Regions from separate parts of the Mus musculus genome. Here all the other regions are reported to be linked to region 3. Evidence: microRNA targets listed by miRTarBase, many of them from high-throughput screens and not tested one by one. Region 3 holds a microRNA gene; each other region holds the end of a gene's coding sequence.

What was found. The annotated mature microRNA mmu-miR-1192 reads AAACAAACAAACAGACCAAAUU and lies in region 3 at 2,324-2,345, opposite strand. An mRNA with a match to its seed (bases 2 to 7 or 8) in the 3' UTR can be bound and repressed. Matches are read on the target gene's strand: a 7mer-m8 pairs with bases 2 to 8, a 7mer-A1 pairs with bases 2 to 7 and ends in A, and an 8mer does both.
Region 1: miRTarBase lists Ajuba as a target of mmu-miR-1192. Seed matches in the 3' UTR shown: 7mer-m8 at 1,656-1,662.
Region 2: the mRNA of Fgfr1 is a reported target of mmu-miR-1192. Seed matches in the 3' UTR shown: 7mer-m8 at 2,440-2,446, 7mer-m8 at 2,457-2,463 and 7mer-m8 at 2,461-2,467.

What each region holds. Positions count from the first base shown.
Region 1 is chr14:54,564,369-54,569,444 of GRCm38, reverse strand. Ajuba (ajuba LIM protein) reads left to right here. Exons shown (of 8, transcript NM_010590.5): 8 at 389-1,976. The coding sequence ends at 514. Among named protein-coding and RNA genes, the nearest start is that of Ajuba, 11 kb to the left of the region's middle.
Region 2 is chr8:25,572,920-25,577,995 of GRCm38, forward strand. Fgfr1 (fibroblast growth factor receptor 1) reads left to right here. Exons shown (of 18, transcript NM_010206.3): 16 at 204-341; 17 at 627-732; 18 at 826-2,799. The coding sequence ends at 1,002. Among named protein-coding and RNA genes, the nearest start is that of Gm16159, 19 kb to the left of the region's middle.
Region 3 is chr19:23,146,717-23,151,794 of GRCm38, reverse strand. It overlaps Mir1192 (microRNA 1192), which reads right to left and starts at 2,364; the gene lies at 2,244-2,364. The region is part of intron 1 of Klf9 (Kruppel-like factor 9); the gene reads right to left.

The DNA of each region.
Region 1 (5,076 bases), not on the chromosome of region 3:
AAATCGGAATTTGGAAGGGGGATTCTTGGAATGACTGGGCATCTGTGGGAGGGATTTAGGATACAGAAAACCAGGACACTGCAGTGACCTATGTCCAGTCTCTCTTGTCCTCTAGCTTTTCTTTCTAATCCTAGTTCTTTTTAAATCTGGAATCTGGCTTCCCCAGCCTCTGAACTGCTGGAATGGGGCTTGTCTCATGATTTCTGCTGCTGCAGCGACCCCTGGTGTCCAGAAGAAGTATTTCTCGGGTTTTCACTTCAAGTCCACCCTTTCACCCTTCACCCTCCCTGGGGCCTTACCACTCACTTGTCCAGTCACCCGGAGTCTCCCAGGATGGCCTCAGGGTAGGGAGCCTGGGTGGAAGTGAACCAGTTGCCTTCTTCCCTAGGACTGCCGCATGCAGCTGAGTGACGAGGAAGGTTGCTGCTGTTTCCCTCTTGATGGACATTTGCTCTGCCACGGCTGTCACATGCAGCGCCTCAGTGCCCGGCAGCCCTCTACCAACTATATCTGAGCTGACGTTACTGCTGCCACCACCACTGTGGAGAAACTCTCTGGCCAGCGGAGGCAAGGAGTGTATTCTGCAATCCTTGTGAAGAGGTCTCTGGGGAGGCCCCGAAGGCCAGAGACCCAAAGATCCTAACATTCCAAATGGGCTGCGGAGGAGGAACCTTCTGGTTGCCGGGAGAGTTGACTGGTGTTCATTGCGTGCAGCCTGTGCTACAGTAGATGGGATGTAGCACACGCAGGCGGGTTTCAGTACTTCCTGAACGCCAGATTATAATGTATTTTTCCAGTGTATGTTTCTATATACGTCACACAATGTTCTGGTGCTGGATCACATGAGGGCATCACAGAAACCACCCCCAGTCTGTTGTACCCTATGCATGGAGTCAGTGGAACCTTTCCCACGGGATCCTATCTTTGTCTGCGCTAAGGGCTGGAAGCCCTGGACTTTGTGATGAGCCATTTCTTGGCTCTCTCCCTAAGGACTAGAGAGCTCCCCGTGTCTGTCTGCTGGGACTGGGACCAGCTCTGGGGGACCTTGCTGCCTGTGTTGCCTGTTTCTCAGGGACCTGGGGAGGCTAACTGGGGCCTGTCCCTGGTTGCTGTTTTGCTCTTCTGGGGGAAGAAATGAGCAGGTTTCTGGATGTGAAACTTGCCGGTGAGTAGGATGTCCCTGAAGCATCAGGCTAGCCCCACTCCCCCTGTTTAAGTGCACTGAGCCTGTAGCCCAGCATATGTGGATACATTGTAGCCACGTGTGCCTGTGCACCTCCCTCCCTACTCCTCTTTTCTCAGGTGACTTACGCTTAGTTCCCTAGCAGTAGCCTATCTTTTGAGACCCCTTTTTAAAAGGGATCCTGCATTGGATCTGACCTGTTACAACCCCACCACTCAAGGCATTGGGGAAGCTGGAGAGAAGAAAAATAGGTTGACTTGGTTCTAGCCGCTTGGCTGAAACTTGAATTCCCCTTAAGCAGGATGTCTTAAAGCCAGGTCACTTGCTGGCTGGAACTCAAGTTCATTTGATGACCAGGTTGCCAAGAGTCCTGTCCCCTACTGAGTGTTCTTATAGCTGCCTACATGTTTTGTTCTTTTCATTGCACTGAGCATTCAGTGATTCCTGCCTGTTCATCAAGAGTATGTCAGAGGTTTGTTTGGTTTTTGGTTTTTCGAGACAGGGTTTCTCTGTATAGCTCTGGCTGTCCTGGAACTCACTCTGTAGACCAGGCTGGCCTTGAACTCAGAAATCCGCCTGCCTCTGCCTCCCAAGCGTGGGATTAAAGGCGTGCGCCACCACGCCTGGCTTACTTCAGAGTTATTAGCAACCTACATTTATCAACTTTGTGGCACTTTGTGATACAAATGTTCCCTGCCTCCTTGGGTGTCTTCCTACTATGCCATTATTTCTCTGACACTTAAGAAAGAAAAAGTTGAAATTCTAGCAGTAAATACAGTTGATGCAGACACTTTGTGAGTGTATTGTGGTTCTTCTTTGCTGTTCACTATGGCTTCAATCCTTGAAGCCTTATGCCTTGAAGATGTAAAGGGGCTCTATGGATTCGCCTTGGTCTGGCTTCTCCATTCACATTGTTAAAATGTGATTGTGTCATAAACAAGTGAGTCTGGAAATGACTGACCTGAGGACAGAAGACCCACCCTTGAGGGTTATTCTAAAACTGTGCCAGCCATTCTGGGAATTACATGGGCAGGGTCTCTTGAGTGCAGAAGCACACCTTTGATCCCAGCACTCAAGAGGCAGAGACAGGAGAACTTCTGTGGGTTCAAGGCCAGCCTGGCCTACAGAATGAGCTCCAGAACAACCCAGGCTACACAGAGAAACCCTGTCTCAAAAACCCAAATCAACAGCAACAACCCCCAAAGCAGAAAACAAACAAACAGAAAACAAAGGAAAAGAAAAGAAGCTGGGCAGTGGTGGCACACACCTTTAAGCCCAGCACTTGGGAGACAGAGGCAAGTGGGTCTCTGGATTAGAAGCTAGCCTGTTCTACTAGCAAATTATGTGGCAGCCTGAGCTACAAAACAAACCAAGCCAGCAAGCAAGGAAGCAGAAGGATCAAAGGCAGATGATGGGGAGAATAAACATTGATCAAACATTTTGTTTAAAACTCAAAAAGTGGTTTGAGAATATTTTTAAAAAAATTTTTTTTTTTTAAATTTTGTGAATGTTTTGCCTTTAAGTGCATCATGTGCCCATGGAGCTCTCTGAACAAGAGGTTCTCAGATCATCTGGTACTGGAGCTACAGACTCCTTCCTGTGAGCTGCCATAGATGCTGAGAATGCAACCTGGGTCCCCTGAAAACTCAACTAGTGCTCTTCGCTGCTGAGCCATCTTTCTAGCCCTTGTTTTAAATCAATCTCTCTCTTTCTGTGTTTGTGTGTGTATGTGTGTCAGTGTCATGTGTATGCATAGTTGTCCAAGTAGACTAAAGGAGGCTATCTGTCAGGCCCTCCGTCCAGGAGCTGGAGTTACGTGCAGTGGGAGGTAACCTTGTGTGAGTGCTAGGAGCTGAACTCATCCTCTGCAGAAGTAGTGAGAATTCTAACCTACTGAGCCATCTCTCCAGTACCATCAAGCATTTGATTTATTAATTATTTATTTTATATGAGTGCTGTGTCTTCACACATACCAAAAGAGAGAATCAGGTGGTTGTGAGCCACCATGTGGGTACTGGGAATTGAACTCAGGACCTCTGGAAGACCAGTCAGTGTTCTTAACCTCGAGCCCCTTATTTTTTTATTTTTATTTTTGGTTTTTCAAGACATTTTCTTTGTGTAGCCTGGCTGTCCTAGAACTTGTTCTGTAGACCAGGCTGGCCTCAAACTCACAGAGATCTGCTTGCCTCTGCCTCCTGAGTGCTGGGACTAAAGGAGGGTGCCACCACCACCCATTGCCAGGTAGTTTGGTTTTGTTTGGTTTGGTTTCTTTTGTTTGTTTGTTTTTTTGTCATCCCCCCCCCCCCCCCCAAGACAGAGTTTCTCTGTATCACCCTGGCTGTCCTGGAACTCACTCTGTAGACCAGGCTGGCCTCGAACTCAAAAATCCACCTGCCTCTGCCTTCCAAGTGCTGGGATTAAAGGTGTGCGCCACCACACCCGGCTTGCCTGGTTCTATTTTAAATTTTCTTTTTACAATTATTTATTTATGGGGCAGGGGAATTTACCTACCGCCACCTGCATCTAGAGGTCAGAGGTATACCCTCTTGAATTCTGGTCAAATGCCTTTACCCATGGAGCCATTTTGCTGGCCCAGCAAATTCTTTTTTTTTTTTTTTTCCTTTTTCCGGAGCTGAGGACCGAACCCAGGGCCTTGGGCTTGCTAGGCAAGCGCTCTACCACTGAGCTAAATCCCCAACCCCAGCAAATTCTTTTTACTGTGTGTTGAATATTATTTTGCTTCCCGTTTGACTTGGAAAGGATGGGGTTGGCTGTGTGACATGAACAAATCAGGAAGAAGGGCGGTGGTTAGCTTTAGTGGGGGAAAGCCAAATAGGGCATGGTTTTAGATAATCCTGTCTCCTTCCTTCTTGAATGAAGACAGAGCGGCCTGGGGAGACATGCAGTGGGAAGGAGCACCTGCCCTACCAATGCACATCTGAGCTCCAATCCCAGCCTCCAAGTAAATGCCAGGCATGGCTGTGTGCACTGTAACCCAAGCACGGTGGAGACAGACTATTGCATCTTTTTAGATAGCTGACCAGTCAGCGTATGCCAAACAGCAAGTTTCTGCTTCAGTGAGAGACCCTGCTTGCAGGCAGTAAGACAGGGAGTAATAGAAGAAGACGCCCTGTGTCCTAGCACCTGTGAAACCTACTCATGCATATGTACCACACACAGGCCACACGTACACATCACAAACAAAACACCATGCATACATATATACACATATCACACACATAATATACAACACACATAGGTACACAAACACAAAAACACACAAACACACACATCATACACACCAGAAACAAAAATAGCATCTCTTGGCGATGCAACCCTTCCAGGGCCACACAGCTGAAAGATGCTGCAGACTCCTGGAGGTGAAGTGCCTTTCACCTCTTCCTATTTCTTTTACCGCAGTGACATCATAGGTAAATGACACAGGTGAAATTGTCATTGCGAGAAAAGCACTTTGCTAGGATGGTTAGGGACTTGGGCAACAAATTAAAACTCTGCGTTGGCTTTCGGTTGCTGTGTTGTTAGGACCCTTGGAAGCACCTTAGAACAGAACAGAGGAAGGGCACTGCAAAACACTTCTGACCTTGAAGAGGCATGGTCTACCAGGGGCAGATACACACATAAATGACTTGAGAGTCTAAGCAACTTGTCAACGAGAGTGTAAAGTAATTGATTGTTATGAATAAAAGACCTAATATCCCAGGGTACAGAGTGCTGATGAGCAAGGCTACGCAGCTTGACTGCAGATCAGAGGGTGCAGCCCACAGTATAAATTCTGTTACCAAGTGAGGAGTTTGCATGGAGGGAGTTTTACCGTTATTACTGATATGCTGGGAATTGAACTCAAGGCTTTGCGCATGGTAGTACAAACTCTA
Region 2 (5,076 bases), not on the chromosome of region 3:
TGCTTCCGGCTTCCTTGCATAGTATAGTCTCTTGCTGCCCTCTTGTCTCCTGTGCTCTGCCCCCCTGAACTTAAGGTCCCTGAAGAGGTGAGAAAGGTTCAAGATGCACACCTACTACTCTTAACTTCTTGAGGACTTGGGAAGGAACTCCTAGGGCAGCCTGACTCTGTGCTAAGCCACCGTGGAACCGTGTTCCCCTGTAGGTGGTCTTTTGGAGTGCTCTTGTGGGAGATCTTCACTCTGGGTGGCTCCCCATACCCCGGTGTGCCTGTGGAGGAACTTTTCAAGCTGCTGAAGGAGGGTCATCGAATGGACAAGCCCAGTAACTGTACCAATGAGCTGTAAGCATAGGCTAGAGGGGAAGGATGGGGGGTTAGTAGTCGGCACTGTTTGGATCCACCACTGGCAAGCTGGGTTGGATGTTGGGACAGCTTCCTCAGGTGATGGTGGCTTATTCGAGGTTCCTGAGGTCTCAAGCCTGGCTCTGAAGGAAGCAGGAGCATGGTGGGCAGGGGTTGAAAGGTCTCTTTGGGAGAAGTGGCCTCCCTGTCCATCCCTCCCCAAGCCCTCTGGTCCAGCTCTGCCCTGGTCCTTCCTCTCTCTCTAACCTCACCATCCTGCTTCAGGTACATGATGATGCGGGACTGCTGGCATGCAGTGCCCTCTCAGAGACCTACGTTCAAGCAGTTGGTGGAAGACCTGGACCGCATTGTGGCCTTGACCTCCAACCAGGTAGGGCTGTCCCCCGGGGTTGGAACTTGGGCCTCTGTCACATAGGCTCCTGGGAAGGTTTGGGTGCCACCCACCGATCCCTTTCTGTCACAGGAGTATCTGGACCTGTCCATACCGCTGGACCAGTACTCACCCAGCTTTCCCGACACACGGAGCTCCACCTGCTCCTCAGGGGAGGACTCTGTCTTCTCTCATGAGCCGTTACCTGAGGAGCCCTGTCTGCCTCGACACCCCACCCAGCTTGCCAACAGTGGACTCAAACGGCGCTGACTACCAACCCTGTCCCCAGTTTTCTCCCATTCCGTCGTCACCCGTGCCCCTCACCCACAATCCCCTTGTTGGACACACTGCCTTTCTCCTCCTCCTTTGCCGCTGGCAAGAGCCAGTGCCTGACTGAGGCCTTCCTGTGTTGTGGCCTTCCCCCTCCATCACCCCCAAGACCCCTCTTCTCCCTCTTCTTAGCCTGCTGTGTGAGAGAGGAGCCAAGAGGCAGGTGCTTGCCGACGGCCGCATCCTCCTTCCCAGGTGTTGGACCAAGACCCGCCCCGCTGCCTGGCACTGCTTGGAGGTGTGCAGAGCGGAAGCAAGTGGAGCATCCGGGGCATTCCTGTTGACCCATCAGCCCCTTCTGTTCTGGCGGCAGGGGCCTTGGGGCTCCTGGAAGCCGTGAGGTTTCTGTTTAGGCCTTAACCGAAGGCAACCTCTGCTCCAGATGGATGGTACCAGTAGCTTCTTAATTCCAATACTAATTTGCTTTGCTGACCAAATACCTGCCTGGTACCAGAAGACAGGGAGGCAGAGACTGGGAGCCGTGATGTGCCCTTGGGCTGAGCCCTAGACTTGGGGCTCTGTACATAGCTATGAAGAAAAACACAAAGTGTATAAATCTTGAGTATATATTTACATGTCTTTTTAAAAAGGGTCGTTACTAGAGATTTACCCATGGGGGAGACGCCCAGGGTAGCATCCGTTGCTATATATTAAAAACAAACGAACAGAAAGAAAAAAAAAAGGAAAATGTTTTTTAAAAGGTCATATATTTTTTTGCTACTTTTGCTGTTTTATTTTTTTAAATTATGTTTTAAACCTATTTTCAGTTTAGGTTTCCCTCAATAAAAAATTGCTGCTGCTTCATTTTTATCCTGGGCGTGTGAAAAGAGAGCAGGTGTCCAGCGCAGAGGAGGGAGACAGGGGGTAAAGGGCCATGAGCTGGTCTTCCCCCTGCCCCCCATGACCTCTGTCTCCTGGATTGTGCCCCAGACCTCCCAGCCAAGCCTTCTATCTCCCGATGCATTGGGAACAGCAGGAGAAGACTGAGGTCCTGAGGGCAGAGAGCCAAGCTCGCACACTTGATTGTTTCCTCGGAGGAGAGAGTGAGAGGATGAGGTTAGCCAGAGGGTAGAACTGGACAGAAACCCAAACCCTAGACCCTGTACATTCAGATGTCTTGTCTATCTTCCCCAACCTACTCCTCATATTCCTCTCCTGTAAATATCCTCCCCTTCCCTGTTGGTCTCTGTTACCCAGTTGGGTCTGTCCCTGAGCTTGGCTTCCTATAGTTTTTCCTTCACAAACTCCACCCATCCCTCAGGAAACAGAAAACGATCTCTTTGGTTGGGGTCAACTTGGCAACTCAATTCTGCCACCTGCTGGTTGCTTTGGTACCTTGGTCTCTTATTCAAACCCACACCACTCAAGCCTTAGAGGGTTTGTTTTTGTTTTTTGTTTGTTTGTTTGGTTGGTTGGTTGGTCTTTTTTTTCTGGGTCTGCTGAATACAAACCTGTTCAGTATGATTTCATCTGTAGGGGTTAGGGCTGCTTCTTTAAATGCAGTTTTGGCAGCTGTGGTTTGGGTCATTGTCATAAGAGTTCTTATCGTTGTTTCTCTCTGTACACATGTAACTGTCAAAATATTATGAATGGTTTTTATGCTGAAAGAAGACATCATTTGGCAAAGAGGGCTAGGGAATGAATTTAGCACAAACTCATTTTCTTGGAGACCGTGTATCATAGTGGTTTTTTTTTTTTTTCTTTCTCTTGTTAAAACTGAACATTATTTCTGCCTCAGGTCTACTTGACTCACTGCTGTGTGGATGGAAGGAGAACACAGAAAGGGCTTAGTGTGACTCAAGGAGAGGAGCTAGGAACTGGAAGGAACTGAAGTCCCCTCTGTTACTATTCAGATTGCCCGCAGACGGCCCCTGGGACAGGGGTGGCTATCAAATAGAAAGTAGTGACATTGACATGAAGGGAAATGAAATGGCTATTTCACTTAGAGGACCAGATTAGGTCTCGTGGGAGGGGGAACCCAGCTTACAGAATGAAGATGTTACTGTCAGAGCACAGCATCTGTCTGGTTTCCTGGGGGTTAAAATATGGCCCAGGCATCAATCAATACTGCTTCCCCATCTTTTCTAATTGCCATAGGCTAAAGGCCATCAGTCCCCTGGCTCTGTTAATGTAATGTATCGATTTCAGGTAAGTAAGATTGAACATAGATGAAGTAAGAAATCGGCCTTAATGGTAATGAACTCTGTTTATCAACTGCCACTGGGTGGAGCCAGCAAGCTAAAATATCCTCCTACACACAGACAGTGTTAGGTTATACTGTCAGAGCCACTGTCCTCTGAAGTAACAGACCTACCTGCAAGCGGGAACTTTTGGCCTGGATATAGCATTGTCAGACTCTGGACATGACCAATATGTCTTGTACAGAATTGGACATGGCACAAGTGCAGGGCCATACTATTAAGTAGCAGCAACAACTATTACAATTCTGTGTAGAATGTGTGCTGTGTCTAATGTCGCTACAGGCGCATGTTAGAGCTTAAAACTGTACCCAATGAGCTTGTTAGCAGCTGTTAGCAGCTGGTAGAGCTTGGTTCCACCACATATGCAGGAAATAGCTGGGAGGGAGAATGGAGGGCTTTGAAGCAACATGGCATGTAGAAACCAAGAAGGGAGTAGACCAGCAAGAACCCTGAAGTTGGCTGGTCCTGGTAGTGAATGCCTGTAATCCCAGACTCAGAAGGCAGAGACCGGTAGATCTTGAGTTCAGGGACAACTTGGTCTACATCGTGAGTTCAGGGCCTGCTGAAGATGCACAGTGAGACTCTTGTCTAAAAGGAAATTAAACGAACCAGAACACACTGAAGTTATGAAGGACTCTGGAACTGGTTCCCTCTTGTTTGACACACAGCAGCATTCAGAATCTTTACTGCCTGCTGGGTACGTGCATGTCCTGGTGCACAGAAGCAATGCATTCAATTGCCGTGCTGTCGGAGGTTCCAGTGGTGTGCTGAAACTGGCTCTCTAAAGGAAAGTATGTGTGTCAGCCTGGGGTTATGGCCTAGTAACCCAAATTTTGAAAACAAAAGGTGATGGTCTTTAATCCTGAACTCAGGGGGCAGAAGCCAGTGGATCTCTTAAATTCAAGGCCAGCCTGGTCTATATATTGAGTTCTAGGTCAACCAAGATTGCATGGTGATACCCTGTCTCCAAAAAAGTAAAATGGGGGATGGGAGTGGGGTGGGTCGGGGCACAGGTGGAGTCCTCAATGGCCAGACTCCATGACTTAACTACTTCCATTTGCTCATTGAGAAGGCCAGAAGGAATCCACGTGCATCAGGGAGATGAGAGGATTAAGCCAGTTAAGTAGCTAATCCCTTTCCCATATTACACATCTATAGTATGCACTAAGTTTAAAAACCCACCACTTCCAGACGGAAGTTGTATTGTGAGATACCTTAGATTAGAGCAATGGCAGCTTCCCAGAGTGGTGTATGAACACAGCCTACAGAAGTCAGTTGATTAGCACACTGGGTGGGACTGGTCCTCCATGACTAGGGAGCATTTTGAGGAGGTACATGCTCTGGGCTGGGGTGTAGTCCAGTTGCTTGAATGATGATTAAGGAGTTCATTGGCTATGTGGTAGTGGCACACACCTATAATCCCAGCACTCCTGAGTTCAAGGCCTGGGAAGTGGGTGGAGATGTCTGTGTCTTGTTTGTTTCGAGATAGGGTCTCACTGTGTAGCTCTGGCTGTCCTGGAACTCACTCTGTAGACCAGCCTGGACTCCCAACTCACAAAGAGCCACCGGCCTCTCCTTCCAGAGTGCTTGAATTAAAGGTACGTGCCACCACGGTCTGGCATATAAGTGTTTTGTTTATATATGTGTGTGTGTGTGTGTGCACCATGAATGGTACCTGTGAAGTTCAGAAGAGGTTGCTGGATTCTGTAGAACTGGAGTTAGAAATTGGTCGTGGCGACCATGTGGGTGCTGGGAACCAGACACTGACCCTCTGCAGGATTTAGTGGTCTTCTGACGGGACAGTCCCTCCAGC
Region 3 (5,078 bases):
TCTCTAGGGAGCGCCAGAGCTCTGTATTTCCTCTTAAAGTCAGACCAGGAAGTGCTCAGAAAAGGCTGCTACCTCCCAGCCACGCCAGACCAAGTGCAACTTGTGGAAGCCCAGGTTAGGAAGGTCCTACTGGAACGGCACCTGAGGGGCTGGCTTGTTGTGGTCAAGTGGGACCCGGGTTGAGACGGGACTAGGTGCCACCAGAGGAAAGCAATGTCACAGTGCCCAGAATCTCACTCTTCAGCATACAGTGGGTGTGTGACAGCCAGTGGAGACCACCAGGCTGCAGGGATGACCCTTCATGATGCCAAAGCAGCCTGTGAGTTTTGCTATTCCAGATATCAACCAGGGAAAGAACGCGAGGAATCCCAAATTAGCATGGCTGTCTTGAGTTTTACCTCAGAAAGATAATACAATGTAATGTGTTAACAAGCTGTTTCTATAATTCCAGCACTTGCGAGGCTGAGGCAGAAGGATCACTGTGAGTTTGAGGCCAGTGTAGCTGTAGAATCGTATCTTTACAAACTCACTGATCCTAAGAACTCTTATACTGCCAAGATAGAGCTTTGCTCCAACGGGGGTGGGGGGGGGCGGTTAGTAACTATGCCCACTCTACCAGCTAGCTAGGTAGGTTGTGACAGATGAGGCAGACAGGCAATGCTATGCCATCATTTGTCTCCAGCTTCCCCCCTGGGGACTTCGCATTGCTGGTACCAGGGTATGGCTGTGGTGACAGAGTCTTACTCCACTGAACCACTCATTTCTGCAACAAAATGAGTCAGAGATTGGCCTGATTCAGTGTTCATCACCAGAAACTATGAAGGTTGGGTCTGAGCTCTCCAAACATGAGGCGCGCCCCCCCCCCCCCCGCCTCCTGCCCACCATGGGATCTGGACAAGTGACCCAAGCCGGCCTTGGATGCTCTCAGAATTCATCCCTCCTGCTTAGTCCTCCCGAAATGCTCAGGTTAGAGGCATGCACTCCACGCCCAACTTCATTCTGCTACTGTCTTTGAAACTGTAATGATACAACAACTACAACGGAATTACGGCAGCCCAGGAATTTAAGTCACTTTGGGGCGTGTGTGTGTGTGTGTGTGTGTGTGTGTAAGCTCTATTTTCTGTTTCCTGTATTTACTGTGGTGTTTCTGTTGAGTACGGTGCACATTGAAAGGACTTTGGAATCTCGATAGGAACCACTACATAAATGGCTCATCTTTACAGAGACCTTCTCTATTAAGTAACACCTGGGATAATAAATGCTCACGTAAATGTGATTCATTTCATCCCTCAGAGCACTGGAATAGATGATGTGAAAACCCTGAAGATCACACGGCTGCTTATAAAACTTGTCCCATGTGAAGCATTTGTTTGGTCTTGGTTCCCCAATCATCTCCTCAGGGGGGCCTGTGAGTGCATGAGCACTTGTAAAATATGTTGAAATTATCTGTACTCTGCCAGGTCCTTTCTGTCCATTCGCTCAGAGCCTATCTTTTCTGCTAAGCTCAGGAGAGCAGAGAAAATAAATGCTGCTCTTTGGCACAGCCTATTTGCAAGCCTAAGTGGACATCGGTGTTTGATTCGCCTTGTCTGGCCTCTATCTTCCTCTACTGGTAAGGAACAGTGCACCTTGCTTCCCTTTGCAGCCAGTCCTTTCTCTGAGCCCACACCTTCAGACCTGAGAGTCTTGGATAAATAAGTCTGTTTTCATAAGGGACACACCACTTAAGCTTAGCCGTGGCTTTCAGCCTGGGTTGTTTGCTGGAATCATTAGGAATGGGAAGTAGTCTTTCTGTGGGGCTTTGCTGAATTGGCAGGAAGTGAGTCTGGTGTTGCTTGGCAGCCATTTTAGTACCATTCAGAGACAGCCTGCTCATGAATGAAGCCAGAGCCAGCAAGAGGGTGGCAAAGCCATAGAGAGAGGGGGCACTGAATGTCCATCTGCATTCAGCAACTCCTGAACTTGGATCTCCATTTTTAATCTTTTTTTAAGTTTTGCTAAGTAGCCTAGTGTGCCCTCTAACACGTGGCAGTTGTCTGCTGCCTAAGCCTATCAAGTGTTGGGATTATAGGTGAGAGACACAACGCCCAGCTCAGAGCAAGTCCAAGTCTGGACTTTCTTGCTTGCAACCTATTTATGGATCCCAAACCCAGCCCCTGGCAGGTGTGGCAGCACTGGCCTGTCATCTCAGCAGTCTGGAAGCTGAGGCAGAAAGACAGCCTAGACCATAGAGTTGCAGGCTGGCATGAGCTATACAAGCCAGACCCTGTCTCAAAACACAAAAGCAAACAAACAAAAAGAGCAAATCGAAACAACAATGACAAATTTGGTCTGTTTGTTTGTTTGTTTTTACTGTTTGGAAGGAAATAGTTTCGGGTGACAAGGTCAGGAGCAGTTATTTTTGTTGACTTTCCTAACTAAAACTCATGAAAACTATCTTCACATCAGACCTGGGGCACAAGGAAGACAGCTTAAGATGGTGGCTCTAGGGCCAAACCCAAAAGAGCCATAAGAATAAATACAGAATCTCTTCTCACTGGGAGCAAGCCACTCAACAGCCCTCACGTACAACTTAGACCTTGAAACAACAGTAGGAATATCTCAGCATAACCTTGGACGAGTCTGATTCCTCCTGTTTAAACAAGAAAAGCAACACACTTCTATTCGGTCTTATGGGATTAACATTCAAGTGAAATGCACGTAAGCCACTTAGCTCAGGCTCTGAGACATACTACATGTTCAGGACGATAGTGCTCACTAAGTCTCAATGGCTGTCGCCATCTAACACACCTTTCACTTGTCACCATTGCTCAGCACCATCCTGAGTCCACCTAGAATTCTAAACAAAAATTCTAAGGCTCTCAAAGGTGTCTGGGATATGTATGTAAAATATATATTTTTTAATTGTAGTAATCCTCAGCAAAAGGTTGGCATGCATAATCTTTTAAATGACTCATCTGAACGTGGCCTCATAATTTCATGAATATATATAATTATGGAACCCCATTTGACAGGTGAGAAACCTGAGGTTTCAGGGAGATAAAAGCTTTGCTTGAGTCTTTGTGATGAGAGTTATGGAGTCAGGGTTAGGTTAGGCCTGGGCAGGTGCATGCTCCCATCACGGTACCTCTGTTTCTATGGTGAAGGTAAAGGCTCTTCTGGAAGCCCCTTGCCTTAGCTAGAGCTCCTGAGAAGTCACTCACTATTCTGATGGGCCAGGGCCTTGTCGTCACTAACTGTGATCTTAGCAGAGCTGATCCCCTGTAAAGGGCAGGTGCTGAAGTCCCCCAACCTTTCTCCCATTGTTCTGAGCCACAATGATCTGCAGTGTTGGCACATGCCTTTAATCCCAGCACTTGGGAGGCAGAGGCAGGCGGATTTCTGAGTTCGAGGCCAGCCTGGTCTACAGAGTGAGTTCCAGGACAGCCAGGGCTACACAGAGAAACCCTGTCTCGAAAAACAAACAAACAAAAAATAAATCAATAAATTTCAGGGGCCCAAGACACAGTGCTAGCAGCACTCAGGAGGCCCAGGTTCCATCCCCCAACCCCAGAAAACACTTTCATTCACGCAAAGACCCAGCAGCTCTGGCCTGGGATGATGGAGTGGAAACCTTTGGATCCCAGGTCCAGATTCTCAGCTCTTACCACAGGCTTCCAAAGCCCCGAGCACCTGGGAAGTGTGCAGCTAAGACAAAAAGAGGCTTGAAGACACACCTCACAAACGTGTGTGTTTAGGAACAAGTGGGAATGAATGTGGAGAAAGACCCAAGAAATTAAAAAAAAAAAAAAAAATTTGGGTTCCTCCCTACTCTGGTGGAGGACGCCATTCTCCCAATATCACTGCTAGTCCTACACTTACTGAGGAGGCAAGACAAATACTAACTCTTGGCCTTCCAGGAAGGAAAAAGCAAGGACTCTGAGCTTGGCCTGGAGCTGCTTCAGGAACTGAGGTTGGCTGGGCACGAGAGGAAGAGGCTGGGCCACTCCCCCAAGCCCCTATACCTGATTAACTCATCTAAGCGGCATCAGCATCCATCCGGCACAGCTCTAAACCAACAATATAAATAAAACCTCCTTAATCACAGATTCAAAGCCCCTGGAGCTCACAAGGGAGGGAGACATGAGCGCTCTCAGAAGCGAGCTGAAAGCCACCACGGGCTTTAACATTTTCTACTGAAAAACTACAGGCCGCAGAAGATTCCAGAAGCTCAGAGTCACATGCTAGCGAAGGCTAGAGGGCTTCTGTATCCTGGCAATGTGCCTCCAAATCTCCCAAGTTCCTCCAATGCTCCTGCAGATCAAGCCCATCTCAGAGGGTGGGCACATGCTCTTTTACAGACAAAATGATGGATGAGATGACCTTTCAAGGTCACGTCCAACCTCCAAGGTCTATTCTTTTTAGACCAACAATTACCACCACCAAGTGCACTAGGCTTAGGCCTGTGACTAACTTCCAACAAAAAGTGGGGCAGCCTGGGAGCCAGGATTACCCACGACCACTGCTGGGAGGATCTCTCTTTCCCTTTTTAACATCTGTGGGTTCTTTTTTTCCTCTCTCCCTTTTGCGTGTGTTGCATAGAAACAGAAAGTGCCTTTGTACCAATTACTAGGCATTAATTTACGCTCCTCCGTGGGCGCTGGGCTTTCTGGAGAAACACTAAGGCAGGGTAGGAGGGTGATGTGGGGGAGGTTTCTAGCTGTAAGCTAGCTTCCCCCAACCCTGAGAATAGATAAGGCGAGAGAGAGAGAGAGAGAGAGAGAGAGAGAGAGAGAGAGAGAGAGAGAGAGAGAGAGAGAGAAAAGAAAAACCAGACTAAGAAACACAAGAAGCCTGGGTGTTGTTTTTCAAAACCAACAAGGCTAATGCTCGGAAGAGGCAGGCTCTCCAAGAAGAGCTAGAGCCCTGTGGCTTTTAGGGCCTGCAGAAAGAGTACGAGAAACCATCTGCCCCGTTTTCTTCCTCTCAATGAACTTATTAGGGAAGATCGTTGTCAGATACTTTCCCAGCGTGCCCTGTGATGTTTCTCCCTGGGAAGTTCACTTAGGGAGTTTCCCACAGACGCTGCAGAACGACTG